Linked DNA regions of Rhinolophus ferrumequinum. The protein of the gene in region 3 purifies or fractionates together with the protein of the main gene of each other region. This does not show direct contact. Links are inferred from orthologs where the notes say so. Each region holds a gene or a part of one and is shown on either strand. Other genes may lie near its edges. The genes, in order: PARD6B, PARD6G and LLGL2.

Region 1 (10,581 bases), on a different chromosome or scaffold from region 3:
ATTCTGCTTCTGAGGTCTGCTTCCCTACTCCAGAATCACAATTCTGCTCTCCAAATGTTAAATTATTAAAGTGGCTCTTATTCAACACTAAGGGCTGGCTTCACCTAGTCTGTAATAAACAGGATCTATCTGACTTACTTCGGGTCTAGCATGGCATTTCCCCCAATGTGGAAACCTACGAAAGGTTACTCAACCTGCCTCAAAAACGCGTACCAGCCACGTTTGGGAAATGCTACGTAACTATAATCACACTCTTAGGAATCAGTGGAGACCACACATTAAAAGCTCAGTTAACTCCTGTGGTTGATTAATAAAAAAAAAAAAAATTTTTTTTTTTTAGACAAATGTTTGCTGTGTTTGGCCACTGAACTCATTTTCCCTCTAAATATCTATTATCAGCACCACTAAGACAACCTTAAGCATCATGCAGAGAAAGTCCCTATCAGAATAATTTGAGGTTACAAATGTGTCAATTCATTTTCCCAAGGACCCTATGGGATATCTAGTGTCACAGCTTTGTCTGTAAGTTCATCGGCCTTGCTTATATCCATGCTACTCACCAGTTTTAAATTAAAATAAAAATTCACTAAAACTACCTCTTACCTCTAATAAATAATTAAAAGTTTCCAAAATACATTCCTGAATCATAAACATTAATATTTGTCAAGAAAATAAAGTGACTCATACCTAAAACTCTCAAAAAGTTTAGTCACACCTTCTCATTTCAAAGTAAATAAAAACTCAGGCACACCCTTCATATCAGTGAGCCTTATGATGTTATCAAAAGTCATAGTTTCTCCTCCATTTTCTTCATTCTGATATCACAACTTAAAGTTCTTAGTGCTGTCTGATTCATCCCAGGGTTTATCACCTCCCCTGATACACCAATGAGAGTAACACCTAATAAACAATTTAGGGCTTCAATGTTTTTCCCAAAGCTTTTGGATGAAAATTCTTTTGGATGAAAACATTTTTTTCTCTTGCTTAAATGTTATGATAAAAAACAATAGAAAACTGTATGGATTCAGTAGATGTGCCCTTTTGCAAATGTTAGCAGGAAAAACAAAGAGAGAAATTGTTATGCTTCTTGCATCAAAACAATAGGATTAAGAGAACTGTTTACTACATGAAGAAAAATACTAAAATAGAGATAAAATTAAGACTAATCAAGAACTATTCACTATGGGAACCATTTACAACTTTTTTAGCCTGATCTACTTTTTCCTGGCCACCCAGGATGTGAATAAACATCCCCTCCTATCTTCTGTTGGTACATTCTAGAAATGCAAACTTAATTTTAAAATTCTGCTTGTCCATGAATAATAATTAGGAAATGTACAGCTCAAAGGCTGTTCCAAGGTTATTAAAGGACACCACCTTGATCATTGATTAAGAACTTTCCCAACTCTGTAGCAACAGGAAGATAAATAAGTTACCAAAGAAAAGTCACAGGGTACCTGGTATCACAATTTAACTATAGCTACATTTGCATTATCCATTAATTTATTTATATCATTTTGCCCTTCCAGGAGCAAAGATAATAAAGTTGACTCTTTTCTATGCAGAAGAAAGAGATCCTGAAATGTGGATTTGCATATCACCTAGTTGTGGTTACACCCTAACCTCTTATGTAGTGATCAGTTTTGTAAAAAGCTGTGATATCACTAAAGCAATAAAAAAGGAAATATTGTTACAAACATCTATCCAAATATTTTTAAATGGTAAAAATGACAAGTGCCATTAAAAAATAAATGTATCACAATACATATCTGAAACACAAGGTGTCACAGACACACTAGAAAGAGTATCTATACTGTGCAGATTCATCGCCAGCTAGAACAATAGTGGGATGACACTTCGTTCCCTGCAGGTTCTCAGAATGCCTTGATTCTATTTAAGAGAGATGGTTCACTAACAGTACAGCATCGCAGGTCAAATATTTAACATATAGTTTAGACTAAGTATGGGAAAGATTCATAAGTCAGTTGACAGAAGGGCAGAAAGCCTGAAATTCCAGTCCCCAAGTGCTCAAGGTTTCCTAGTCTGAGAGATAAATTACTATTTGGTTGTATTTATCAGTGCACCTAGAATTCCTACTCATTTTCCCCTATGATTAAAAAAATTACTGACTTGCTACCAAGATTAGGACCACAGACTGAATTTTAAGATCATGCAATATCATAAATGTTTTTCTTTTCTTAACCTCAACTCCCACAAAACCAAACTAGATTTGTAACAGAAATGCCATGAGCAGGTTCAACCATTGGAGGAAAAGCTCTATTTTGAGTCATCTTAACCCTTAGTTCAAGTACTGTCACTTCAATTTGTTTTGGCAGGTCAATGGAGGACGCAAGGAAGAGCATATTCCTTAGCATCCCTTAAATTATTGCTCTAATTACATTTCTATTCTTATTAAACAGAATGGTTTCTGAAACTCGGGCCTACCCTGATACAAGTTAAGTCACAGATAACATTTTAAAGTGATGTTAAAAAAATGAATGTTGATATTCTTGATGTGATGATCTCAGTTATAACAACTTACAGAACTTTGCTTATCAACTCTAGATAATAAACACCATTCCACCCACAGGCTCCAGGGAGCTTTCCTTACCCACTTCACTCAAAATCACTCCTTGATTTTGCATTCTTAGTCGTCTTACATTCACTGATTTCATTATTTTTGAAGTTGGTATGCTTTTGCTTTTCTCCTATGCTTTTATGTACTTTGGTCTTCCCAACTCTTATTTTAAATGTTCTCAGGGCCCAGCCAGTGTCCTCTTTTGTATTCTAGAAAGCCTAAAAGTTCCTCTGTAAAACGGCTTTAAGGTTTTGTCTTCAAAGCAGAGCTTGGGGAAGTCATATTCTGTGTTCTCAGAGAATTAGACTAGATTATCTAAGCTCCTTTTGGCCCTTCAATTCATGAAAATCTTGCTGAAAACGTGGCTGCAGATCACCTTCAAATTCCAGCTCAACACCTCCTTTGGAGAGCATTCCCTCACTAATCCCTATAGACTACTCTACTCCTGCAATTTAGGAATTCAGTGGCTACCGACGTTTATTATCAGCAGATTGGCATACCGCTGGTCAAGAGTGAAAACACTTGATGTGAAAAGGTAGCATGATGGAATGAAAAGAGCATCGAGACTCAAACTGTAAAGTGCTCCTCCAACGAAAGGTGATAGTGCTAATTTCATAGATTAAATGCATACCAAAGTTAGCGCTAGGAAAACCCCTAGCAGGAAGCAAAGCTAACTTCCAAAGGGCTCTTTGGTTCACTGGGTTCTTTCTCTCTCGTTCACCACTCGATGAACCCCTGAACCACAGAAAGGGGTAATGTTGTGATCGCGGGTGTTCCAAACACCTTTTACTCACAGGCCAGGAGGAAGAATTCCCCCAAACCTTTAGACACCACGCTGCGCTCAAACGCCTCGGTTGTATCTTGGCCCCTACTCCCATCCTTGAACAGCAATGAGATTTAAAGAACCAGATAAAATGCTCCACTGGTCTTTTTCCTACCTGGGCCAGGAGCAGACACAAGGCCCCCACCTTTCTCCCCTCCCTTCTCAGCAAGTTTATTATCCACCGTCTCCTGCCTCCAAATCCCACTACCGCGCCTCCACCGTCCCAGGCTCCGGGGCAGCTCCTCAGGCCGCCCCCGTGCCTCCCCCGGGCCCCGGCCCCCATCGGACGGCCGCTCCGCCCAGCCCGGGCCCCGCGCACCTTGCTCTTCACCTCCATGGTGCCCAGGCAGCCGCTGCCCGCCCCGTGCCGGTGGCTGCGGTTCATGCTGAGGCCGGGCCCCGCGGCGGCCTCCTCCAGCCGGGCCGACCCCCGGGAGCGCGGGGAGCGAGTGCGCGGCCGGCGGGCTCCGGACGCGGCAGCGGCCCGGGGGCCTCCTCACAGGCACCTGCAGAGGGGCGGCAGCGGCTCGGGTGTCCGCGCAGAGATCCGCTCGGCTGACTCCTCACAGGGCGACACTGAGGGTCCGACTGGCGAAGCGGCGGGCGGGGACGTGACTCTCCCTCCGGGCCTCGGCGGCTGCCGCGACGGCGGAGGAGGAGGCGGAGGGGGCGGAGCAGAGGCGACAGGCGCCGCAGCCTCGCTCTCGGCCGCCTCCCCCGCGAGCCCGCGCGCGCGCGCACCCGGGGCGGGCGGGAGCCGCGGCGCGTGCGCGCGCTCACCTGCAGCCTCCGTGGAAGTCTCGGCGGCTCGCGCTCCGCCCACACCCAATAGGAAGCGCGCACCTGCGCCTGAGGCGCCAACCAATCGACACCCGTCTCGCACAGACCTTGGGCGGGCCGCCTCCTAGAAATTCCCGCCCACCACCGCGCGATTGGTCTCTCGCTGAGAGGGAGGGGCGGGATCACCTGAAGCTGTGGGCCTCTGTGACCGAGCAGGAGAGCTGGAAAGCGCATGCGCGGGCTCTGGGGTTTCCGCCCCGGGAAGGCCGGCCGGAAGCGCGAGCGCACCTGAAGATGAGCGGGAGCGGGTGAGCCTTTAGCGCACGCGCAGGCGCGCGGCTGGTTGCCCCGCTCCCGTCTGCGGCTCCAACCCGGCTTTGGGGGTTGGAGCGCGCGGCGGATCGCGTTGCCGAGGCTTCGTGGATGTGCTGGATTCCGCTGTCCTCCTCTCGGCTTCCACTTTGGGACGCTGCCGCCTGAAACAACGCCCATCCGCCACCCATTTGCATCGTTTAGGTGTCAGGCTGAGACTCTGTTTGCAAAATTCAAGTTTTCCCACTTCTACAACAGTTACTGAAAACCTAACCTCAGGGCTCTTCTGGCTTGGTTTTGTCGGTAGAGACTCTGCAGTCCGTCAGGTCCCAAGCGGTAGAGTAGGCGCCTGGAGGGAGGGAAAGTGGGCTGAGGTCCGATGGTTCCTCGCCGGCCCTGCCTCCCTGAGGATTTCTCCTAGACCGGCCCTGGTCCAGGGCTTCCTTTACTCCTTTTTTGTTTATTTTTAATTTCTAAAGTCTTCCTCTCCCTTCCTCCAGTCATTTCTTGGCCATTTGCGGTTTCCATCACTGACAGCCTCTGGATTGTGTTCACCAGTGACGAAACTGTGTCCCAGATAACAAAGGACTGAACCCTTCTCTCTAAATGCCCCAGAGCCGGGTTCTCCTCACAAGGACCCTGTTTAGCATTGGTCCTGTTGGGAAGGTGAGAAGGAGACCCCCGTAAGTCCCCCCACTCACCTGCAGAAGGGACTTCTCACCGTGGGTCTACTGCTCAGCAAAGAGCTGTTGAACACCCCTGTGAGCTGGGCCTGGGCCTGCGGGTGGGGTTTCTAAGCCGAGATGGCAGAGAAGAGCTGTTTAGGGGGCGTCATTCCACCTGAGTCCGTAGGGCCTTCCTCCCCTCATCTCAAACCCCTCCTAACACACTTCGCACACCTTCCCAACACCTGTAACAAGTTCCAGTTTTCCCATGTTTTTCTGTGAGTAATCCACCTCGGCCCTAGAATGAAAGCTCTAGAAGGCAGGGAATACATCTGCTTTGCTCACGGCCAGGCATGTAGCATGGTACCTCACTCCAGGCAGGTACTCAGATGTGTCTTCGCTGGGTGCTGGAGCTGAAGGAGTGTGGTTTCTCCATGCTAACTTTGCCCCACTTTCCCCCTAAGGGGTTCAAGTTATCAAATGCTCGTGGGAGAATTTAAGGTTTTCTGGCCCTTTTGCATGGCTACAGATGGAAAGGATACCATCCCAAGGTGAATAATAATAAGGCTGCCTTCTCCACCACCTGTTCAAAAGCACCTACTATGAGGAGTGATAAAAAAATTGGTGATTGTTTAAAAAAATGTATTACAGTAAAAGACATATTGACATTAATCCCTCTCAAAATACTCTCCCTCGCTTCAAACACACCCATCATTCTTGCCACTTTCTGAAGCAGTTCTGGACGTCCTCTTTCGTGAGTGTCTTTAGTTGTGCTGTCGCGGCTGCCTCGATGTCCTGAATCAATTAAAAATGTTAACTTTTCACGGTCATTTTTACTTTGGTGAGGAGCCAGATGCCACGATGCCAGATCCAGTGAATGAGGTGAACGAGGACACAGCGTAATGTTTTTATTTGACAGAAAGTGTTGTACCAGAAGTGATGTGTGACACAGAGCATTGTCATGATGGAGGATGAAGGAAAGACACAAAAGAGGACTTCCAGAACTGCTTCAGCAAGTGGCAACCACGATGAGATGTCTTTGAAGCGAGGGGGAGTATTTTGAGGGGTATTAATGGCGATGTGTCTTTTACTGTAATACATTTTTTAAAATGTAACCATATCTTTTCACCATATTTTTTTTATCATGCCTCATATGTGACTCAAGCTGAGCTGGGAATGAAGTGTGGTCCTGTGATGGGGTCAGCATGATGGTTTGGTCTCAAGACCCCCTTAATATGCTTAAAAATTATGGAAAGACCCCAAGTATTTTGTTTCTGTGTGTTGTGTCTTTCAATATTCATCATATTAGAATTAACACTGAGAAATGTTTAAAACACAAGCACACATTCCAGTAGTCAGCAGGGCGATGATATCATCAGATGTCTTGTCCCTTCTAGAAAACTCCATTGTAAACCTGTGAGGCAAGGAAGGTGAGAAGAGCAAGTGACATCTTCGTATTGTGAAAATAGCTGTGACTTTGAGAATCCCCTAAGAAGGTCCCAGGGACCCCACGCTGGTTAGAAAGAGTCACAACCTTGAAGGATCTCTATTCTCAGCTGTCACTCTCCTCTCCCCAGTTACCAGGGTCACACCCTGGGAGTGAGGGCCCCAGTTTTGTGTGAGCGATTGTTGAGTGGCTGAGCTTTATTACTATTATCAGTACTGATTTATCAGGCCCTTTTAAAAAGGAAGTTCGTGGGTGCCAACACACCTGCGTGGGCCCTGCATTCCTGGAGGTGTTGTCATATCCTCTCTGCCCTCCCCCGGGTGTGGCATCTCTCTTTACTTGGACTTTCCTTTCTAGAAGAAGGGAGGGCCAGGCCAGAGCTTCCTGGATCTCCTAAGTGGAATTTGCTCTGAGGCCTGCTTCACAAGTGCAGCCTGGGCTGTGTGAAGAAGGAATGTGCAAAATAGTTTGAATTTGATAAAGGTGCTGTGGAGGAGGGGCACCCTTTCATTCTGAGAACTGTTCTGGCCACAAGTTTGTTCGCAGGGCCTGAATTTCAACCTTTCTTGAGAAGCATGAAGCCCAGAGAAAAGCATAAAGCCGGGTTTATATTCCAGTTCCTTTGGTTTGAAGGCTGAATCCTAATCTCATTTCTCTCCATCATCCCTCCCCACCCCCAAATCCTCAAGCTAAAGCTGATCAAGACTGCACGTGTGGCATGAAAAGCTAGTCCCATGCCTGCGAGAATTCATACTCAGTGAGTTAGGGAGATAAGTAAGGTGAGTGTGTGACACGCACTCTATAAAATGATAGGTTCCCCAAAATCATTAGTTGGGAACTGGCTACCACTGATTATTACACCCACACGCTGTCAAATCTCTCCAGGCCATCTCCACCCTCTGAAAGAAGCTAGTGAGGGTTACATTTCTGCTTTATCCTCCTATTCACTACATTCTGTCTTTAAGTTCTTCTGCGACAGAACACACTGTTGCATTCGTCTGAAACCTCTCTCTCTTGGTGGGGTGAAAAGAGTTTGTAATTTTCCACAATTCGTTTTATTGATTCATGTCATGCATAATTATACTTTTTTCTTTCCTTCTTCCTCCAACTCTTAGGGAAAAAAAAAAGGTGGCAAGAAGTCATATATAATGGTGGTGAGATTTTTTTTTCAAGAAGTTTCTCTTGCCAGCTCTTTTTCTCCTTGATTGCTCAAGTTCCAGTTTTGATGGAGCTGGTTAATAATTCTTTCAGAAAGAGTTGAAGTGTATATTTATGAATCTCAGACTACTCACCAAAGCATTTTAAGCTCTTTAGCAGAGATGGAATTAAGTCACATGATCTGTTTTCTGGTTAAGAGCTTCTAACACTTGAGTACTTAGTGTGGGGGCGGGGTGGGGGTGCTCACAGCTCCAGAAACCAATGGATTATCTCCTGTAGGCTTTAAGAAGCAAGGTGCCCTTTCAGGTAAAAACCATCTTTGTGGGAAGCAGTATGTGCCAGGCACTGTGCATAAGCCCTGCCCTTGAAGAGTTTGCTTTCTGACCTTTTTCCTTTCCGGGACTCAATTTCTCCGTCTGTAAATGCAGGCACGGAAATGAGATCATCTCCACAATCCCTTCCAGCTCTCAACATTCTACGGTACCCGGGGGATAATGGAGATTGATCATTATTTCAACAATATCAGGGGTGAACGGGAATGAAAAGGGTAATCTTTCCTTCAGGGTCGACAGACAGGCTGCAGTCATCAGCTAAAATACTCCAGTTCCTAGGAGGTGTTGGTGAAGATGATAACTAACATCTATGAGGGTCCTACCAGGTGCCAGGAACTGTACGAAGCTTCTCCAAGGATTATCTTATGTACTTTTAAGTAGCAGCATGAAAGAGCTTTACATATGATCTTAAGTTTTTTTAAAAGTGAGAGGTGTTAATTTGAGCCCTTGCTCTGCTCCTTTGCTGGCTGAGTGACCTTGATCCTGCCCTCTTAACTGCTCAGAGCCTCTGATTCTTCCTCTGTAAAAGGAAATGGCAGTGCCCAGCTCATCACATTGTTGCTGGGATCAGATGAGAAACTGCATGAAACCATCAAGAGTGGTGCAAATACTCGTGGTTATCATTTAGCAAATAATATTGCTTATGAAAGCCTTGGAAAACAGTTCGTTGAAACAATACAGAAATAAATGTATAATAAACCCTTCGTTTTGTTTTCACACAGAGCAACCTTTTAATGGACATACTTTAGTTAGAGAGGACAAGAGGCAGCCTAGAGTAGTCGTTGGGAATATGATTCGAGCCAGATGCCTACATTCAAATCCTGCCTGTGACTTTTCTTAGCTGGATGACCTCGGGCAAGTTTTTAACTTTTCTGAGCCTTGGTTTCTGCATCTGTAAAATGAGGATAATAAGATAATTAATTGTCTCAATTCATGTACAAAGCACTTAGGATAGGGTCCAGCATAGGGTCAGGACTCCATAAGTGTACCTTTTATTGTCGTTATTACTAATTACTTTAAAAAAGACTTTTATTAGAATATAGCTAGCATACAACATTATATTAGTTTCAGGGGTACACAATAGTTATTCAACATTTATACACCTAAAGAAATGATCACCATGAGTAGTCCAGCAACCGTCTGACCCCGTACCATGTTATCACAAATTTATTGACTATATTCCCCATGCTGTACATTACATCCCCATGACTTATTTGTTTTATACCTGGAGATTTGAACCTCTTATTCCCCTTCAACTTCCCCCACCTTTTTAAAATTTTCAATTACAGTTGACATTCACTATTATTTTATATTAATTTCAGGTGTACAGCATAGTGGTTAGACATTTATATAATTTAAGTAGTGATCCCCCTGACTAGTCTAGTACTCACCTGGCACTATACATAGTTATTATAATACCATATTATTAACTATATTCCTTATGCTATACCCTACATCCCCGTGACTACTGTGTAACATCCAATTTGTACTTCTTAATCCTTTCCCCCTTTTCACCCTCCCACCCCAAATCCCCTACCCATCTGGCAACCATCGAAATGTTCTCTGTATCTATGAGTTTGTTTCTGTTTTTGTTTGTCTGTTTTGTTCTTTAAATCCCACCTATAAGAGAAATCACGTTGCATCCATCTTTATCTATCTGACATATTCCACTTGGCACAACACCTTCCAGGTCCATCCATGCCACCGCAAATGGCAAGAACCCATTCCCTTCCCTGGCTGAGAAATATTCTATTGTATATATGTATCACCCATTCTTTATCCATTTATCCATTGACGGACACCCAGGCTGCCTCCACATCTTGGCCATTGTAAACAATGCTGCAGTGAATATGTGGATGCACATGTCCCTTTGAAGTAGCGTTTTGGGTTTCTTCAAATAAATACTCAGAAGTGGGATTACTGGGTCCTTCCTTGTCTCTTGTTATAGCCTATGTTTTAAAGTCTATTTTGTCCAGTATAAGTATTGCTACCCCAGCTTTTTTTTCATTTCCATTTTCATGAAATATTTTTTCCCATTCCTTTACTTTCAGTTTGTGTATGTCTTTTGATCTACAAGTGAGTCTCTTGTAGGTAGCATGTGTAAGAGGCTTGTTTTCTTATCCATTCAGCCCTCCTATATCTTTTGATTGGAATATTTAATCCACTTACATTGAAAGTAATTGTTGATAGATATGTAGTTATTGCCATTTTATTATTCATATTTTTTATCTTGTTTTGTTTTAAAGAAATCCCTCTAAGATTCCTTGTAATTATGGTTTGGTGGTGATAAACTCCTTTAGCTTTTTCTTGTCTGGGAAGCTTTTTATCTGTCCTTTTTTTTTCTAAATGATAGCTTTGCTGGGTAGAGTAATCTTGGCTATAGGTCCTTATTTTTCATCACATTGAATATTTTGTGCCAATCCCTTCTGGCCTGCAAAGTTTCTGTTGAGAAATCAGCAGACAGTTTTATGGAAGCTCCCTTGTAA
Region 2 (9,744 bases), on a different chromosome or scaffold from region 3:
AAAAGGGTGTAGCTGACACACACAGGTGAGTCAAACTGTGTCAGGCAGTTCTCAACCCGCCCACGGAAGGCAAGGGCGCAGCCACCCCACCTGACAGAGGGCGTGTCCAGGCAGCCAGCAGCCTCAGCCAGAGACAAGACTTGGGACGGGGGACACACGGACTTACCAGCACCTGCACCGACTGGACAAGCAGCTCCGTGAATGCAGAAGAAACAAGAACACAAACAGAAGGATGGGGGCAAGGAAGAAACAGACATGAAAACGTTCAATTCACCTAGACACGAGTACAAATCAAGGGACACTTGATTTGCGTTTCACTGATCTGATTGGGAAAGAAGCGGAAAACTAGTGCTGGAGGGAGGTGAGAGATGGGGGCACAGGTGCGGGATGGGGCGTACAAACCAGGAGGAGAGATTTTCTGTAAGAAGATTCAGTCACGTGTATTCCAAGCCTGAAAAACACGCATACTGTTCACCCAGTAATTTCACGTCTAGGAATGTGTGCTAAAGACGTCAGAGCTCTGCACTGCATTAATAGAATCGGTATTCTTTATATACTTTGTATATTTATATAAAGAGTTAAATATAATGATGTTACTCACAGCATTGTTTATTATAGAGAAAATTGGAAATAACCCAAATGGGATATTGGTTAAATTCATTACGGTTTACACGTAAGATGGAATACTATGTAGTCATTTTAAAAATATGTTTTCTAAAAATATTTACAACAGAAGAAAACTACACTGTTTGCACTACACTGTTGAGTTGAAGGGGGAATGAGGGCCACAGAATAACACGCCTACTATATCTGACCCTGTTTCTGTAAAACAAAGACGAGAGCATGAAAAGGGTGCAGAGGACACGGGGCGGCCCTGCACAGTGGCTCACCTTTGGACAGGAGAATTACCTCCCTTTGCTCCTGAAATGGTTTCTAATACTTCTCCAAAGGACAATGTATTTGTTTAGAATCCAAACAAGCCTCCAATGTTATTTAAACAAAGCAGCAAAACCTACATTAAAACCTTCTATTAGTGCTATTCTCCCCCAAACACAATAGCCACAAACCCTGTGAGTGTAAACACGGTCCTGGGTCCCTGCTCTGAAAAATAATCCTGTGCCAGCACTGTGACAAGAGCCCTAAGATGAGGGAAACATAGAAACAGGGTCAGAGGACAGAGGAAGCTGGCCTGGGGAAGGCATGGGTGGGCTTTGCAGGAGAGGGTCGGCAGGACGGGAAAACTCTTAGACAAAGCATTTTGGGGTCAGCAAGGGACCGTGGATGAGACCTGTGTGGGACTGAACCCCCGGCCTGAAGCAGAGGGCGGGTCCGGGTGGAGCACACTGCTGAGATGAGAGGACTGCGTCCCTGTAGCTTTCAGGCCGCGCAGACGCTGGTGAGGTTGACCAGCCACTCATGTAGCTAAAGGCCGGCCAAATTCTCAGGGGCAATGTGTCACTTTCTATCTTCTCCTTAAATGACAAGTCGTCCCTAGTTATTCCACCCCTGCAGACCCTCCCCCAGCACTGGCTTTCCTTCCACCCTCTGGTGGGCCAAGACTGGCTCCCTTTGGTCTGAAACACGCTCCCCAGACATCTGCACAGCCCCTCCCTCCTACTGCAGGTCTCCCGGAGCAGAGGCTGAAGTCAAAGTAAATGGGGAAATGGTGGCCCTAATGTCAGAATTGGGATCGCAGCAAGTAAGGCAGAAACGTTTGGGGAAGTGTAAGAAGTGACATGATGGCAGAGAGAAACTAGGTCAAGATAATGTCCCCAAGGCTTTTTTGGAACTGACCAGCTGTCAGATGGCTGACACCAAACATTCTGGGAGAATCAGAGGTGATTTTCAGACCCACTGCTCTGAAATGCAGCAGAGCCCTGAGCCACCTGTAGCGGACACACACAGGTGAGTCACTTCTATGACTGTAGGTGCTGCACACTTTCACACCCATCATCCCATCTGGTCTTGGGAGGGAGCAGAACAGATAGATGCCCATTTCACAGATGAATAACCGAGGCTCGGAAAAGCTAAATGAAAAGTTGCCTGAAAGCTCACAAGGGTAGGGGTAGCAGAACCATCTGGACTCAGCCCCCTAGCACCATTTCCCTACATGCAAACCAATGTGTTATGGAGCTACACTTAGGTTAAACAAACACATCATTGTTGTAAAGTTTTGCATCCTGTATTTTGACAACAGAAGTAAAGGATCCCTGCAGAGATGGACTGCATGGGAGCAAATATTAGCTATTACAGGTTTCCAGGGAAGGGTGTTACCAAGGGAAGAGCCATGTGGACCCTCTGGATAGCTACTAAGGCAAGCCCATCCTCCAAAAGGGGCAGGGGCTGTAGAACCAAGCAGCCTAGCAAGCCCGGGACGGTGTGGCCCTTGCAGGGGTGGTCCCAAATTCAACTAAAACTCTGGCTCAGCTACTCAACCTCCAGGGGAGCATTCACAGCAAATGAACTTGATGCCAGGATCAGGGCGTCCTGAGACACCCCACTGGGCCACCAGCACACCGACAGCCCCCAGACCCCAAGGAGAGGCAAAGACAGGCTTACTCTCCAGCCCCCAGCGGCCTGCATGGGGCCATCCGTCCAGAGCTGCCCGATAAGGCCTGGGAGGGGCGTCTCCTCCATCTTTACCCCTGGAGTTGTGTGTCTGGTCAGGCAGCTGCACTGCAGCGGGAATGTGGCTACAACAACTGAGCGCATGCTGGAATCAGGTGGCCACTGTGACAGAAGCGCTCGTCTCTCAACAGTGCTGGTGGTTGCAGGAATGTGCATGCGACAAAAGTGGTGACCTCAGCACATGCCAACACGTCCACTAAGGTCCTGGGTCTGACACTGATGTCACCTTTGAGGAGTCTCTCTATTTTTTCCCACAACTGTCTGGGAATGTATGATCTTGAAATTTGTAAAAAGTGTAAAAGTTAGTCACCGCACGTGCTCAGTGGCTATTGTAGTGGACAAGGAGCTCTAAAAAGCCACATTCCCACAGAGCTAAAGAAACAGACAATTATTTAGGACTCCCACTCATGCCTGGCGGTTCTTCTCCCACACGACTCAGCAGGCCCATGTGATTTGGGGGGTGGGGCACTCCCGGGCTAAAGCGGGGGCGAGGGTCACAGAATTAGCACTGGGGGAACGGTGTGACCGTACTAGAAACTAGGGGTTCATAAAAAATCCGTGAGAGTGAAGATAAGAATGAAATCCTGCAACTCACTGCAGCTTCGATCCCCCGCCCGACACTGACACACACATACACACATACATATACACACACACACACACACACACACACACACACCCGGCGGATGCCTTGGAAGTCCTACAGCAGAGGCCCCCTACCCCACCCCCCACCCCGCCTTGCCGGAAAGGGCAGCGCAGGTACGGGGGCCGCTGCACTCATCTCCCCAGAGACACATCAGGGTACATACACCGTCTCCGCGCCTCCAGGATGCGCGCAGGTGGGATCAGAGCCCACCCTCCGGCCCCGCCCTCCCAGCACTTCGGCTGCTCCGCCTTGTTTTACCGCGAGCAGGGGGCGCAGAGAGAAAGGGAGGGCCGGCTCCAAGCAGCAGTCAGCCGAAGGCCCGAAGGGCCCCCCTCTCCAGGACCCAAACAACTGCAGCTTTTTATCTACCCGTGGGGTACCCCACAGAGACCCCTGCAGACAAAAGCGTCTGGGGCGAAGGAGCCGCCCCCGCAAAGAGCAGAAGCGCCAGATCCTATCAGCCAGTCACCCAAACGCGCACAGCTGCCCGCAAGTTCGGGCACGCTCGGGCCGGGCGCCGGCAGCGGGAGGAGCCGTCGGCCCAGCGCGCCCGGGGAGGCTGGGCCTGGGGCGCGCCGGGGGCCGGCTGCGGTCTTCCCCTCGCGGGTTCCGACGCTTCTCCGCAGGGGAGGCAACGCGGTCAGAGCCCTCCCCCGTCCCGGGCCCCCGAAGCCCCGCCACCGTGCGGCTTGCCGGGCGCTTCCCGCTCGTGGAACAAAAGAGCTGCTCCCGCTGAGGGTCCGAAACCCGCGCGGCCAGGCCGATGGCTCTGGCCCTCCGGGTGCCTTGGCCTCACCAGGTTGCGGGCTTTGTGTCCGCAGAGGGGCGGGAAAGACGTCCGGACCCTGCATCTCCCAGATGGCGCCCGCGCGCCTAACTTGTCGCGGACGCCGGTCGCCCCCGCACCGCCCCGAGCCCCGCGGGGCGCCCATTCATTCGCAGGGGGCGCAGACCGCCAGCCCCGGCTCACCTTGCTCTTGACTTCCACCGCGCTGCAGTCGTAGAAGCGCAGGGTCTGAGACTTGTGGAAACTCCGGTTCATGGTTCCGGCCCCGCTCACCCCGTCTTTGCCCTCGCCCCCCGCTCTAGGGACTGCAGAAAGACGCTGGGGGCGGCGCCCCCCGCCGCGGCCTCGGCCCCGGCCCGCGCTCCCCGGCCGCGGGGCTGCTCGGAGTGCGGCGGCCCGAGCTGGGCTGGCCGCGCGCCTCGGGGACTTCAGCGGCCGCGCGCGAGAGGAGCGGGGGACGCCGGCGCGCGCCGCCCCGAGAAGCCGCCGCCAATCCCCGCCCTGCGCACCGAGCACCCGCCCCCAGAGGACCCGCCCCGCGCCTCAAGGATCCGCCCCACGAGTACCTGCCCTCGAGCACCCGCAACACGAGCCCCAAGGACCGGCGCCTAGGAACCCCTCTCCCGGCGCCCCGAGGACCCTCCTCCAAACCCCGCCCCGCGCCCCGAGGACTCTCCCCCTTGTGCCCGCCCCGCAACCCCGAGGATCCGCCCCTTCTGCGCCGCGCCCCAAGGACGCGCTCCGCCCCGCCTCCGAGGACCCGCCCCCAGGCTGCCGCCAGTGGTAGGTGCGCGCTGTTGTCGGTGCAATCCTGAGCCTGGAAAACAAGCATCGCCCACCCGACCCAGGGCACCTCATTCCCACCGCCGTGCCCGCTCTCTCTCTCCAGTACTCGCCCCGCTACCCCAGCACGGCCGTTAAGGAGGCTGCTTTGGGCCGATTTTTGGATGACAGGGGAACCACACCTGTGTGTACTGGCTTCCAGGCGCTCGGTGGTCTGGGCGAAGTTCTGCAGGAGGCAGACTCCTAAGGCACAGGTCAAAGTAATAGGGGTAAGGAGAGGGTCAGAGCCCCTCTCGGCCTGTCTTCTGAGAAGGAAGACTTCTGCCCAGGCTCCTAGGAAAAGCGCATGCTCCGCGATAGATGGCATCAGTTGTTACTTATTATCTCAGAGAAAGTATACTATAAATAATTGCAATTTATAATTATAAATGTACTATAAATTCATTGTAAAAGAAATCCGGAGAATACAAAGAAATGAAATAAAAAAGTTAAACTACCTATAGTCACACTACTCAGCATTCAATTGTATTAACATTTTAGTACATTTTATGTTTATTCTTCTGCATAAGTATTTACATATTTTACAAAATCATGCTGTTTAATCAGTTTGGCAGCCTGCTCTTTTTAACTCATGTAAAGAACATTTTCATTAAGCGATTTTAGAAAATATGGTTTTCAAAAATTGCGTATATGAACACAGGCATGCTTTTCAACCATTCCATTATTGGATATTTAAAATGTTTCCAATGATTAGCTTTTATATAATACTGTGTTTCTTGAATTCATTTATTTCTCATGATTTCATTAGACTGGACTCCTAACTAAAAGTGGAATTACTAGGCCACAAAGTATGCATATCTCTAAGCCCTTTAGTACAGATTGCCCAATTGCATTACCAAAATTTAATTTTCACTTCATGTCACTAAATGTCCCCTTAAGTGCAGGATGCGGTCACAGCAGTCAGGTGCCCTCAGGAGAAACACCCTGCTGGGCTGGGGGCCAGACATGCAGACAGACTTCCCAAACAAGGCACATGTGAAGTAAGCAAGCAAACAAAACTGTCGAGAGATTCCCACAGAGGCAGGAAAACTATTCCAGACGGAAGGTTCAGCATGTCCACTGGTCTGAAAGCTAGGAATGACCTGGTGTATTAATTATCTATACAAAATTTAGTAAATTCCAGGCAGAATCAGAACATGTCCGAGAGATACCCACTGGGCAAGCTGAGAGCGAGCAAGCTGTGTCCAGAGCTGAGTTTCTCTCAAAAGGCCATTTCCTGAACAGAATGAGGCCCTGAGAAGAGTCCCAGGGTATTAGTGATGGCCGACAGTGGACATCCTTGTCCTGTGTGGGTCGGAGAGGCGTGGGGGCATGTTCCAGGTGGGCTGAGGGGCGGAGGGGAAACCAACATAATTCTAGGGTGGGGGTGCACCTACCAGCAAGCTCAGGGCTTGAAGAGTGGGAGGGAAAGCTAGAGAGAACAGAATTCCAGGCTTGACGGAATGAGATCGTTTCTGCCACGTTCATGGCACAGTGTGTCCAAGGCCCAGCAACCAACGTGGGCTCCACCTTGCACTCGTCAGGGCCCCCCCCAAGCCCCTGAAGTTGATTCTACACCTGAACATGACCCTGGGTTGTTCCTGGGCAGGTTGCTCCTTTTCCTGTTATCTGCCGCCCCGTCAGTTCTTGATCAGCTTGATCAGCAGCAGGAAAGCCTGGGAAAGTCGACCGTGTGCAGGTGGAGCCTGAGTTTCCAGCCAAGACTTGAACTGGATTCTTTAGGGCTTCAAGCCTGTGGGTGGGTCGTATATAGACAAAAACAACTGGCTGAGCTGAGCCTTCAGCTGGAAAAGCTTCTTCACAGTCCAGCCACATGACTGAAAAGCTCTCTACCGGTCCTCACACAGCCGTGAGTCCCCATGGGCGGGCTCCAGGTGGTGCGCACTCACCCAGTCACGTGCTGATTGCTGGAGCCAGCCGCCTCCGTGAGGTTTCAGATTCAAGTGAAGTAAATGTGGAGACTCACCAGAGGGGTTGTATGGCCTCTGTGAGTTCTGCAGGCATCCCACGAGGCATTTGGACGGGTCCGTCCCCTCACTGACCTCAGTATTTATTGGTAAACAGGCACCGCAGGGCTTCCCTTGCCTGTCTCAGGGCTACAGCCTGGCAACCGAAAGACACAGCAGCTGTGGCCCCACTTGGAAGTCGTTACAGTGCTCTGCCAGTTCCCAGTGTTTGAAGGGGGATGGGGGGGCAGGCGGTGCCCTCCCAGGGAGGGTGCCAGGAGTGAGTGCCCTGCCCTGAGGTGAACTAGCACAGCAGCCAGAGGCGTCCCTGCACTGCGTCCCGGTTGCAGAGCTGCGCAGTCACCACTACACAGGGCCTGCAGCAGGCTCCGACACAGAGAGGAAATAGGAGGGGAATGGGCCTAATCCTCTTCAAATCTTTGTCTTCAATTAGTCCATCCAGAAGTGGTGCCTGAGCCCCCCGGGATCAAAAAGGAAACATGTGATGTAATACAGAATTGTACACCTGAAATCTATGTAATTTTACTAACAATTGTTACCCCAATAAATAAATGGGGAAAAAAAAGGAAACATGTTATAGACCCAAGAAGATGTGTTTTCCCCAAAGCCCTTACAATTGTCAGAGTCTTAAATGGAAGCAGCAGTAGCTTTAAAATCTCAAAGTTCTAGGTACATGGGGACTAACTGCATTTTCTTCGTAAAGAATAGGGGGATTTAATAATGAAACCGAGATATTGTTTTCATGACCTGAATAAGAGAGAAGAAATGTCAACCTTATGTGAGTTGCTGAATCAGCAGATCTTGTTGATGACATTTCTGATAGAGAGGAGACATGACGGACAGGGGACTGTGATGGACAGGAGACATGACGGAGAGGAGACGTGACAGAGAGGAGATGTGACAGAGAGGAGACAGTGATGGAGAGGAGAGGAAGAGACTCCAGCGCCCCCCACACCCAGTGGCCTGGCTAGGAGGTAAGTCCTGTTTGCCTGGGCAGCGCAAGGGCTGGCCAGAGCCCAAATCTGTGCAGCAGGATAAGAGCAGGGGTTCCTAAACAGAACAATCTTACCCTCCATTCCCACGGGCACTTGGCAGTGTCTGGAGGATGTGCCAGTGGGCGGTGGAAGCCATGGATGCTGCTAACCGTACAACAGCCCCCACCACAAGGATGTCAGTCAGCAGTGCCAAGGGTCAGAGACCTGGGCCTGTGTCCATGCTGGCCTCCAGGAGACACTCAGGATCCCAGCCCACCTACACTCGAGCTTGGTCAAGTATAAGGACCTTGTTGTCCACTCTTGGTGGGTGACCTGGAGCCTTGGGCTCAGAAGTCAGGAAGGGAGGCTTTCGTTAGCTCCCTAACTTCCATGGGCTCAGAGCGGCCCCCCAGCACACCACCTCTTCCCCTCCGTGTCGTGGAGCAGGGTCTGAGAAGCCTGGGCACGGAGCTGCCAGCTTTAGTGCTAGCAGGCTTGGTGTTGGTGTTGCTGGTAAAGTGCACTGTGGTGTTTGGGGTAGAAAGTTCCAGTTATGCACAATTAATAAATTCCAAACAGCTACTGTATAGCATGATGCCTTTAGTGAACAATATTCTTTTGTACACTTGAGATTTGCTAAGAGGATAGATCTTATGGTGAGTGTTCTTACCACACACAAGTGATGATGACAGCACTAATAAAAAATAAATATGAAGACTGGGAGGAAACGTGTGGAGGTGATGGACACGTTTATGGCATAGATCCTGGTGATGGTTTCACAGGTGTACACTGATCTTCAAAATCATCAAGTTGCATATGTTAATTTTGTACAGTTTTTCTGTCAACCGTACCTCCATAAAGTGGTTTTAGAAAACTACAGTAAAATAGGAGAGAATACAGCCACCCAAAGCACTCAGCACACTGCCTGTCACAGCACATACACAACCAATGCGATCATGGTTTCACCTCAGCTCAGAAGACCAGGGAGGGGCTGTGCTGAGCACCGCCCTGAGGATGAAGCTGGCACAGGTGCCAGAGTCAGCAATCAGGGGACTGTGACTGTGTGGACAACAACAGGAGAACTTATTCTGCCACAAGAAGACTGTTTGCTAAACTCTTGATCCTTCCAGCCCATGGAGGTAGAGAAAGGACTAAGAAGGGGAGAGGGAGGGGGAGTGAGGGCCCATCACGTGTGGGGCAGGAGCCGACCTGCATCACCTCACTGACCTCACAGGCACCGGAGAGGGAGCCGTTATCCCCACCTGACAGGTGAGGAGACTGACTCTCCATGTCTTTATTTGAAGTCACACAGCTGGTACTTGGAGGAGACAGAAGCCAGCTCTGTGCCTGTCTGAGGCTCAGGCTCTTCCCCCATAAGGAAAGTGTCACCCCAGAGCCCAGTCTGAGCAGCCAGGAAGCTACTGTCAGTTGTGACCTCAGAGGAAGGGAACATGGGCAGAAGTGGAGCCGTGCTCTGGGCTGAGGAAGAAGAGATTTAAGTTTTTTTTTTTAATTGGGAAATATTGGGGAACAGTGTGTTTTTCCGGGGCCCATCAGCTCCAAGTCAAGTCGTTGTCCTTCAATCTAGTTGTGGAGGGCGCAGCTCAGCTCCCAGTCCAGTTGCCGTTTTCAATCTTAGTCGCAGGGGGCGCAGCCCACCATCCTATGCAGGAATTGAACCAGCAACCTTGCTGTTGAGAGCTTGAGCTTTAACCAACTGAGCCATCCAGACGCCCAAAAAAGAGATTTTAAAAGACCCCAGCAAAGGCAGGGCATAGCTGTGTGTGTGTGTGTTTGGGGTTGGGGGGGGGGGAGTCATTGTCACAGGGTTCTGGTGCTGCTTGTCCTCCTGTGAAGGGCCAGGTCACCACCTCCCTTCCCACCTGTCCCCGTCCCCGT
Region 3 (10,170 bases):
GTCCTGCCCATGATTGTATCCCCAGTGCTTAGTGCCCTGACACCTGGGAGACACTCAAATTGTATTTAGAGAACTTCCTCACCCCTGCGAGTCTGGGCTGGGGTGTGACCTTGTCGAGGCCTGCCCTGACCCCCTTTTAAAGCTGCAAGCTGCCTCCACCACGGGGGTCCTACCCCCTGCTTTAGTTGGTACTCTGTAGCTCATATCGCCTTTTAAGATGTTATTCCTTACCCGTATTTTCTGTACTCACGCTCCCCACCCTTTAGCATGAGAATCCTGTGATGACAGAGATCTTTGCTTTGTGTGAGGATTATGCCTGGTGTCTGAGCCACGCCACACACACAGAGGCACCAGTAAATACTTGTTGAGTGAATGAATGAACAGGTAGGGTTGAATGGGGATCAACCAGACTAAGGTCTTCTCCAGTTGGGAGCCACCAACCCCAGAGAACACTGGGTTGGGTCACCAGAGGGTCCCTCAGGGAACTTCTCCATCCTGCTCTTAAATCTCTGGCCAAGGCCATGGCCATGTGGACATCATGCCTGGCTTCCTGCTGGGGATACCTTTGTGGGCCCTGCCTCCGTCCAAGGCTCCAGGACACCCAGCTCCTCGGCAAAAAGAACCCAACAATATCATTAGCTACAAGAGTCAAACAGTTCTGTGCCCAGAGGTCCCTTTCATCAAACCCTGGGAACACTGAGTCAGGTATTTCGAGAGAAGGCTCCGGTCACTGCTGAATTCCTGAAGGGTAGAGTCAGGTCACTAGCAGCTTCCCTGTCCCCACGCCCAGAGGAGCCTCTCCTAGTTCAAGAATTCACTGTGGTTCCTGGGAAGAGGAAGGAGTGGAGTGACTCTTCAAAGGACCAGCTTCCTCTGGGAGGCAGGGTGGGGAGGGAAGGTCACCTCAAAGGAAGCTGGGCAAAGCCTCTTGGTGACAGGGCACAGGACGGAGGGTCTCCTGGGGAGGAGGGGCTGGAGAAGGGCTAGCAGAACCAGAGGCCCCAGTGGGGATGCCCTTCTCCTGCCCCTTACCCCACTTGTCCCTGCAAACTGCTCCTGGGCAAGGGAAGACAAATCTGCCACCCAGACCTGGCATGCCTTGACCCAGGAGGAACCCTGAGGGTGGTGTTGCCTGAGTGAGATAAGAAGGCCTCTCCAAGCTGACTACTCTGGATGAGGGCGTCCCAGAGGCCAGTGCTGCTCAAAGCAGCCAGCCCAGGAGCAGGGACCACCAGCCTCCCCACCCCCACTCAGGTGTCTCAGGAGCTACCTCTGACACATCTGGAAGGACCAGTAAGGCTGAGGAAGCCTTCAGGAAACCCGACATTACTCCTGGAGACTCCTGCCCAGGAATGGTCAATGTCTCCAGTGGGGTAGACAGGGGGTCACAGACTGACTGTAAAGGCTCCGAACTTTCCAGCTCCATGCATCACTTTCTCCTAGGGAGAGGGTCCTGGGGCCGAGAAGTCCTTCCCTAAATAAGGTTGAAAGAAAGCACTATGGAGTTCTCAGAAAATCTCCTAATGACAAGGAGCAGCGCAGGAATGTGCTCCCTCCCCCCATCCCCCAACAGGGTGCAGAATGTGTACAGTCAAGCCCTCCCCTGAGCAGAAAGCAGAACGGATTACATCGCCCCCGCCCCCAAAAGACCCTCAGCTGGGGTCTGGCCATCAGGCTTCACTCCTGGCTCTCCCAAGGAGCAGAATTACCAAGGGCCACTGGAACACAAGGTGAGGTTAAGAGAAGCCACTGCCCTTTACCTCTGTTCCTCTATTCCCATCCTCATTTTAAAAGTTCTGACCTCCAGAGGCTCTCAGAAATCATGACCCTCTCAGTTGGTTTCTGGACAGAGAAGCCCGATTCCCTCACAATCCATCAGGCATGTTCAAAAGGCCCAGACGTCTGCCCAAAGGCCCATAAGTGACCACGCTTGCTTTTTATGCTCTGCAGGGATGCTGAGAAGCAACCCCTCACCTGGTTCCAGCATGTGCCAAGCCACATGTGTTTGTAACATTTTTCATCTTGTCAACATTAGTGAAAAATAAGGCTGGCTGAGGCTTGGTAAGGTTAAGTGACTGAGCCAAGGTCGCAAGAAGAAAAATTGATCAGACACAATTCAAAAGTATACCTGAGAATCGAAGGACACTAAAACACTTAATGAACACTATGTCTGAGGAAAGACTGTGAGGCAAGAGGGAGAAGTTTTTCCCACTTATTTTATACTTTCTAAAAGGTCTCATCCCCCCAAACACTGTCCAGTGGTCCCCATTGAGACTGGCCCAGTCTAACTTCGGAAAAGAGGAGCCAGTCCTGGTCACAGCCCCCAGAGCCAGGTTTGAGTCCTGACTGCCATAGTGGACACTGTGCACAGATCAATTAAGGAAACAAAATCTGGATTCTCTGTCCATAAAATAAGAAAGTTGGACCATCTCGGAGGACCCTTTCTGGACTTCAGTTCACACAGACGCAACCTGTCTTCCTTAAAAGCATCTTCTGACCGTGGCTTTCCCTGTGCTGGGCCACAGCTCTTCTGTACTGCAGCTCTGTTCTTCCCACCTGGGGGTTTCCTGTCTCCCACATACACTCATTCCCTCTCAGCTCACTTCCTTGTTCAGAATCCCCTCTGCACCCTTGAGTTGTAAACTCTGCAGAGGACCCCTAGAGCCCAAGTTAAGACGCACTGCGTCTGGCTCAGGGATCCCCATGGAAGGGGCCTGAGTCTAAGCCCCACCCACCTCACCTGTCTCAGGTGAAAGCTTCAGGGGGTCACACAGGGCTCTCCTGGTTAGTCAGTTCTCCCCCAAGCCAAAGCTCAATGTGTCTACGAACGATCCAGCCGGAGCAAACCTTGAGCAAACTTTGCACACTTCCTTTGGCAAGGCAGAATTTTCCACTCCTAGCCAAGTCCCAACGTTCCACAGTGCAACCCCACCTCTGTCGTTGTGGAAAACAGACTAGGTCTCCGTACTGTCCCCTAGAGGTACCCAAAGCCGCCCGAGGCAGAGAAAGGCCCTAAGTCCCTCCCGCGGGCTTCCTGCGTCCGCGGATTACGAGACACAAAGGGCCGGTAGGAAGAGGGCCCAGATGGCAGGGACAGGGGCTAAGCCGCCGACGTAACACTCGCCGGCCGCCGCTGCCGGAGAGAGGACCATTGGAAACGCGCGTCGCCGGCCTCCCCCGCCAGGCACCTTGCACGTGGTGGGTCCCGGGGCCCGGGGACTCCGTCTCTGCTCGTGGTGACCCTCGCACCCAGCCGGGTGGGGCACCTGTTTCCCCACTCCCCAAAGCCAACACTACAGTGCAAACCCGAAACCTAAATTCTGTAATCGCGGGCGGATGAGGCAGAGAAAAGTTCCCAGTGGCACTTTCTACAGGTGTCTTTCTCCTAAACCGGCGGAGCGACTGGATCCAGGATAAGGCGGGCGGACCTGGGCGCAGCCCTCCGAGCCCCGCCCGGGGTCCCGGCCCTCCCCTGCCTCCCCACCCCAAGTGGCTGGTGCCCCGAGGGGGCGGGCCCGGATAGGTGGGCCCCGGCCCGCGCCTCACCTGGAACCCCAGGCCGGCCCCCGCCGAGGCCTCCGACTCCCTCGGCGCCAGCCGCTGGCTCTGCTCACTCCGCCGCCGGCCCACGGGTTGCTGGGCGGCCGTCTCCTTCCTGCTCACCTCCAGCGCGGCGAGCAGGAGGCGGAGCCGCCACTATTTACATAAAGGGCGAGCCGGCAAGGCCCGCAGAACCCCGAGCGCGGGGCCCCAGCGGCCCGGCCCCGCCTCAGTTCCGCCCCCCGCAGCCCTGCGCCGACGGGGCGTGAGCGCCCCCGCGGGGCGGGGACCGCCGTCCGGACCAATCCGCGGCCCCAGGCAGCTTGGGGCGGGGCCTAGGCCTGCGAGAATATGCACGAGGCGCTGCCGCCCCGCCCCCGGCCTCACCTGCGCGTACCTGGTCGGAGAACGGCTCGCCGCACCCAGTGTCCCGCCGCCTCCCGGAGGAAGAAATAGTTCCCGGAACTCGCCACGGCCCCGGGCCACCTCCAGGTCCGACTGCCCAGAGGAGCCGTCCCTCCACAACCCGGCCCGGAGCTGCTGAGGGCGGGGCATACCCCGGCCGGCTCTTCCTGAGAGCGCCCAATCCAATCAGAGGGTGACCAGCGGACACAGGACCAGGTTTCGAGACCTAAGAGCGAGGTGGCGTGGGGACTGGGGCGTCGCCGCGAGGCGCCTCCCCTCGAGGCGGGCCCCAAGCCTGGAACCCGCTTCTCCTAGTCCCTGCAGAGGTAGGCAGACGCCCGAGGCCCCGAGGGACACCAACAGCAACCAGAGTTTTTAGCACGAGGGAGGGGGTTAGAGCGACCAGAGGCGGGAGCGGAAGGGGCGCGGAGTCCAGGCCTGGGGCGCGAACGGCGCGCTCCCCCGCACAGCTCGCAGCGACTATGGCGCCTCTCAGCTGCCCTACCCAGATCCGCTGCCTTCAGGGAAGGGCTGCTGGACCGCTGGCCTCCCTCCGAGGACCCCTTTCAGAAAGCCAAGCTGACCAGAGGTCTGTGACTTCCCATCACCTCCGACGCAGGCCCCAGAAAGGTGCGGGGTTGTGTCCTGCCCTCCTGCGGGCTTCTTTTAGCTTTTGCACCGGAGAAAGCAGTGTTCTCTGAGGGTGGGCAAAGCAGGGGTGAGGTCCTGGGCGCCAGTTCCACCGACAACGGGTTGGGGGGGGTCTGCGCCCCCATATTGGGGCTGGGGGGCTTCTCCAGTATATCCAGCCACGGCAGAAAAGGGATCTATTTTTTAATGGCTTTGGCTTTATCGCATGAAGCAGGCACCTTCTCCTTTAAAGGCACAGAGTCCTCTCTTCTGGCCCACCGCGCTGGGTCTCTAAAATCTAGTGCTGAATTCCAAGGGGATCACTGCAAGGCGTCAGTCTTAGGCCGGGGGCTCTGAAGCGCTGCAACAGCCAAGTGTGTGTGTGTGGGGGGGGGGGGGCGGGGGCTCAACTTTGCTCTTCTGCAAGCATCAGACACCCAGGACCAAGGCCCAGACTAGCCCCTGCAGCTGCAGGGTGTAGGAGGCAGCTGAGATGGGCCCTGAAAGTAGACAGTCCAGGTCCCCAGCCCCCCCACCCCTTCCAACAGGCCCCAGGTCCTGCCAGAGCTGCACAGTCAGTGTTCCAAATCCCTGGGCAGTGTGAAGTCCCTGAAGCTGTAGAAGGAAATGTCGCCGTGATCCACCAGGGCAAAGATCAGAGGAACGTCCCCACTCTGGTAGGACAACTGCTTGAGAGTGCGGAGGTCTGGGACTGGCTCATCAAATCTGCAGGGACAAAGGTTAGACTGAGACCTGGACATCGCCTAACCCCAGGCTTTGCGACCCCAGCCCTCTGTGGCTCCCAGGGAAGGGAGACTGAGACAGGAGTTGGGAGTGCAAGAAGTCTGGCCCCTGGACTCTCCTGTCTGCAAACTGCATGGCTCTGATAAGTTCAAGAGAGACCCAGAGCCCTGGCTGAGTAAGGGGGCTAGGAAGAGTCAGGTTCTCCAAATGAGCCCAGAACAGGAGAGAGGCTACCTGCAAATGCCAGGAATGGGGCTGAGGACTGGGAAGCTTGGGTTCCACAGCACTAACTGGCTGTGTGGCCTCTTGTGGGTCACATAATCTCTCTGGGCCTCTGGATCCTCTCAGGGACTGACAATCTGTCGGGTGCTGTGAGGCCGTCCACTTGGTTCACATAACTGGCAGCAGCCTGGGGGCAGTGCTCGCTGGTCTCGTACCCACTAATGCACATCCGGGCATAGGGCTTGCCAGGGTTCTTCTTTTGGAACGTGGCCACAGCATCGGCCTGGTAAACATCAAAGCTGATTTCCAAGCCCCCAGACTTCTCCAGCAGCCTGAGGACAGAGTGAGAAACCTTAGGGAACTCTCCTGCTCCACCTTTTCTTTCCACGCCACCCTTTCCCTCTCCCCATTCCAGGAAGCAGCCTGTTCAGGGAAACTGAGGTCCTGCTGTGAGGTGTCGCTTGATGTGCAGGGGAGGCTCAGCTGCCCTGCTCAGAACCCTGGGGGGAAATCCACGCACTCCTCCCTCTCCCCTGGACACACATATTAGCCACGGTAGGGGTCCCTGGAACGACCCCTCAGCTTATACCCAACTTCAAATCCCAGCTGCCAACTCCTACTGGCAGCCAAAGTACTGTGGAGATGGGCACCACCTAGAAACTCACCGGGCACCTCCATCAGCAAGGTGTGTCGTCTGCAGCACCGAGATATGCTGAAGGGCTGCGGCTACAAGGACAGTGAAAACAAAGCGTTGGGGAGGGGAGTCCGTCATCTGTACTCCCTTGACATTCTCAGTTTGCCATCGTTAGGGGTCCCAGATTTAACAGCTTTTTGTTAGTATAGAGATTTACCATGTTGTTTATCCGTAACGTAACTGATCTGGGAGCCCTCGTCCAGTTCCTTATAATCTCCCATGTTCCCATAAGGGCTGGAAGTACTTCTGAATCTGTTACTGTCATTCTTGCTCTATTAGTCCCCTGTCCTTAACATGCAGGGCACACAGCAAGCTTTCCTTTTATTTGGTCTACGGATCACCTCCTTGTTCCCCTAACAGACTGGAGAGAACAGGGAGCACAGCAAGTTGGTGGCAGAGCTATCCCCACCCATCTGGTGTATGACATTAAGTAAGGATTTGTTCGGAGTTTTCATTGCTTTCCTGTCCTTTCCTTGGGCACTGACTCGCCATCTGTAAACCTTCCCACATGGGTCCTTTTGTCGCTTCCCAGGAAAACAGATTGCCCTGGTGGGTAATCCATGGGACAGCTCTCTCCTTCCCCATCTTTCTTAAGCTTTAATCGGTCTTGGGCAATCCGTGCCCCTTTCAAAGTCTTGTGATTCCTTAGCTGCCAGTGGCCTGTGGGGCTATGGCAGAGTGAGAGGGTACCTGGGGAGTCTGCCTGGCTGGGACTCAACAAGGGGGTGACAGTCTGGTCCCACAGGTGTGGGGGGCGGCTCTGGGTCTTCTGCAGGTGCCGCTTCTGCAGCAGCTGCTTGTACTCCCACCAGGTGGAGCAGCGCTGCACCTGGGCATCTGCATTTATGTCCTCCCAGAAGTGCTGGGCCTCTGCCTGTTGCTCCCGTTCCCGTCTGGAGAGCTTCTCCTTCCGCTGGTTCAGCTTCTGGCACCAGGACTCAGCATCTGTCTCCCGCCCTGCCACATTGGCCGGGAGCAGCTCTGGGGCTGGGGCAAGCAGGAGGGTGTGGCGGCCATCTGAAGCCAGGTTGGGGAAGGAGATCTGCTCAAAGTTCCAGCGTGGCTTACAAACCCCCTTGACCCCATTCTCTACTTTGCCGCTCTCCTGGCTGCACCCCACCCCCTCCCTGGCCATGCTGGGCTCTAGGGACCCAAGAAGCTGAAAGGGACCCGTTGGGCCCTCTATGGGGCTTGACTCCTGGGGTTTCTCCTCAGGGCATCGGATGTTCTGGTTGCTGGAAGGTGGGATGGAGGTTGCCAGGCTCTCAGGTGTCCCATCCACCCCCTGCAGGGGGTTCTCCAGGGCCTTGGGCTTCTTATTAATGGACCTGAGGGACATGGGGAGGAAATGCAGCACATCTGCTCCTGGCTAGTGAGGTGCATATGTCCTGTGGGTGCACTTCTGCCTCCTTGAGCCCTCAAGGGAGCTCCCCACGCCCAGCTCCTAAGCCTATGCTTTCTCCAAGGTCCCAAACACCAGCTCTGCCCCCCACAACTCCCTGGGGCGTGGCCAAGTGGGGAGCATTACCGAGAGCTGGAGCTCCTCTTCCTCTTGCCATTCCGATCCTCCAAGCACTGGGCCCTGCCGTCCAAGTTCAGCTGCCTCTCGTAAGGGGACAGGACGGAGCTGTGGGGTGAGAATGGGGCAAACAACAGATCCAGCTGCTCAGCCTGGTGCTCCTGGTGGGGTTTGTGAGGGGCTGGCCCAGCGGGCAAGTCAGTGGGCCAGGATCAGCCACACCCAAGGGCTAAGGCACCAGGCAGACCTGCCCACGGGGTACATCGGGACGGCCACAGGGGCCTGCCCATGCATCTCTGCCCAGGCCTCTGTGTGGCACCTGTGAACTGAGCTCCCTGGAAGCAGGGCTCCTGCAGAGCCAGAAGCAAATGATTCAACACTGGTGAGAAATATCAAGGACCAGAAAATGTAGAAAATAAAAATGAAAATAAAAACCCATGGATACCACTGTAACATTTTTGTTTCTTATAAACACCACAGTTTCTCTCCATATTTGGTTTTTCTAACAAGAATGACATACTGCTTTGTAGTCTTCTTGTTTTAGTTAATAATATATTATGGACATGGCGCCTTATCACTATAGCAGTCCTCCCCTGCCATGACTTTTTTTATGGCCCAAAGGCTGCACTGTCTGATGTGGCAGCCACTAGACAAGGAATTACTGAAGTTAAATCTATTAAAATAAAAATGAGAAACTCAGCTGTACAAGCCACATAGGAGTACACTGGACAGCTTAGACGTAGGACATTGTCATCACCACAGAAAGTTCTATTGGACAGTGCTGCTCGAAGGGACAAGCTAATTTGTGTGACTATGCCCTCCCTGTTGGACTCATAGTATGTTTCCAAGTTCACTGTTTTGTGTAAGCTCCCCACTAAACGCAAGTTATGTGGGGTAGTGATTTTGTTCTCTGCTGTTCCTCAGCAACAAGCACAGAGCCTGGCACCCAGTAAGTAATCAACAAATACTGTTGAATGAATGAACATTGTCACAGGTAAACGTATGCACACATCTATGACTATTCCCTTAGGATATATTCTACTTTCAGAAATTAAAGCTCTGTCCTAGAGCTTTGGTGACATCCTGGAAACTGCAAAGGCTGTACCTGTTTCCACTCCAAGTTTGAATGTCTCTGTGGCTCCGGGCAATGTTGGATTACTAAGGTGATGACCTTCAGAGGCCCCAGAAGGAAAGAACATCTGACCTCGCCAAAGGGATGTGAAACCCTACCAACTGTTAATTCCTTCACTCCTGCCTGCATTCGACAAATCTGCTGGCTCACTAAGTGCCTGGCCCTGTTGCGGTGCATTTCCATGCTCACAGTTAGCTGTGGGTGCTCAATCGTTATCTACGGAGTGAACAGGCTGAAGACGGGCCTCACTCTGATGACCCAGGAGAAGCTGAAATGACCCGATTGTCCCAACATGCCTCTCGGTAGATCATTTCCAGCAAAGGCCCACGGCCCGTGTCCTGAAAGCTGCAACTCCAGCCAAGGGCTCCAGGTTAGCAGAGGCCACTTTCCACTTTGGGGCTAGTCACCCAGATGCCAGGATGGGAACAAATGGGAGAGAAATAGGATAGGGATTTACCTTGGCTGGAATCGTCGAACCACATAGCCCAGTCTTTTCAGGTGGCTGAAGACCTCCAAAGAAAAAAAAAAAGGTCATACGTCCACTTGTGAAAACACGAAATAGTTTCTCAGGAAGAGAAGCCATTCCCCACACTCTTATTAATAAATGCCTTTCAGACTAAGGTCTCAGTATGGATTCCTGTCTCTTGCTTACCTTATTTTGGGCAGAAATGACATATAGCAGTTTCTTGATTTAAATGCAAATCCCAAAAAGCTGATAGCTGACGGGCCAGGAAAAGAACTATGTCCTAAAATATTTGGATACCAAAGCTGATGAGCGTGAAGCTCCTGATTACAATGTGGACAAGACAATGGCAGAAGGTGGTGGACATCCCCGCCCCTCCATTGACAGGGGTGGGGTGGGAGTGGTCTTTGGTAAAGAGCCACGTGTTCATCCTCCTGTCTCCATATCAGTATCAGAAATGTATGCCAGAATGTCCCCTATCTTGCTTGATCTTCAGCAGTCTTCAACATAGCTGACCACTTGTTCCTTGAAAAAAATCCCTTGGCTTCTGTGATGTCGCCTCTCCAGGTTTTTCTCTTGCATTGCTGGACACTCCTCCGTCTGTTTCTGGTCTCATCTTTCCCCCGGACCTCCACATGTTGGGGTCCACAAGGTCTCAGATGCAGCCCTCCACTCTGGCCACACACCCATCCAGCCCCCCTGGTTTTAAATACCATCCATGTAGTCACGATGACACTTAATGTCTCTAGCCTTGTGCCCCTCCTCCACTGTCTTCTTCCTAACACTCAGCTCTGAGAAGTCAATTGTCCTTTCGCTTGCTG

Evidence for each region.
Region 1: the proteins of LLGL2 (region 3) and PARD6B purify together in Homo sapiens (affinity purification with mass spectrometry; 7 studies listed by BioGRID and IntAct, counting the BioPlex papers as one, with this or other methods). This does not show direct contact. The link is inferred for Rhinolophus ferrumequinum from reciprocal best matches to the Homo sapiens genes LLGL2 and PARD6B.
Region 2: the proteins of LLGL2 (region 3) and PARD6G purify together in Homo sapiens (affinity purification with mass spectrometry; 4 studies listed by BioGRID and IntAct, counting the BioPlex papers as one, with this or other methods). This does not show direct contact. The link is inferred for Rhinolophus ferrumequinum from reciprocal best matches to the Homo sapiens genes LLGL2 and PARD6G.

Annotation. Positions count from the first base shown.
Region 1 is NC_046306.1:8,980,327-8,990,907, forward strand, and holds the start of PARD6B (partitioning defective 6 homolog beta), read right to left. Parts: upstream 4,116-10,581; 5' UTR 3,787-4,115; coding exon 3,721-3,786; intron 1-3,720. UniProt on the Homo sapiens protein: Adapter protein involved in asymmetrical cell division and cell polarization processes. Probably involved in formation of epithelial tight junctions.
Region 2 is NC_046302.1:60,466,818-60,476,561, forward strand, and holds the start of PARD6G (partitioning defective 6 homolog gamma), read right to left. Parts: upstream 4,445-9,744; 5' UTR 4,317-4,444; coding exon 4,245-4,316; intron 1-4,244. UniProt on the Homo sapiens protein: Adapter protein involved in asymmetrical cell division and cell polarization processes. May play a role in the formation of epithelial tight junctions. The PARD6-PARD3 complex links GTP-bound Rho small GTPases to atypical protein kinase C proteins.
Region 3 is NC_046304.1:50,462,066-50,472,235, reverse strand, and holds the start of LLGL2 (LLGL scribble cell polarity complex component 2), read right to left. Parts: upstream 4,063-10,170; 5' UTR 3,938-4,062; exon of another isoform or gene 3,928-3,937; intron 3,764-3,927; exon of another isoform or gene 3,547-3,763; intron 1-3,546. Other genes in the region: TSEN54 (tRNA-splicing endonuclease subunit Sen54), read right to left, coding at 5,151-5,301, 5,757-5,873, 6,207-6,267, 6,926-7,563, 7,764-7,862, 9,344-9,396. UniProt on the Homo sapiens protein: Part of a complex with GPSM2/LGN, PRKCI/aPKC and PARD6B/Par-6, which may ensure the correct organization and orientation of bipolar spindles for normal cell division.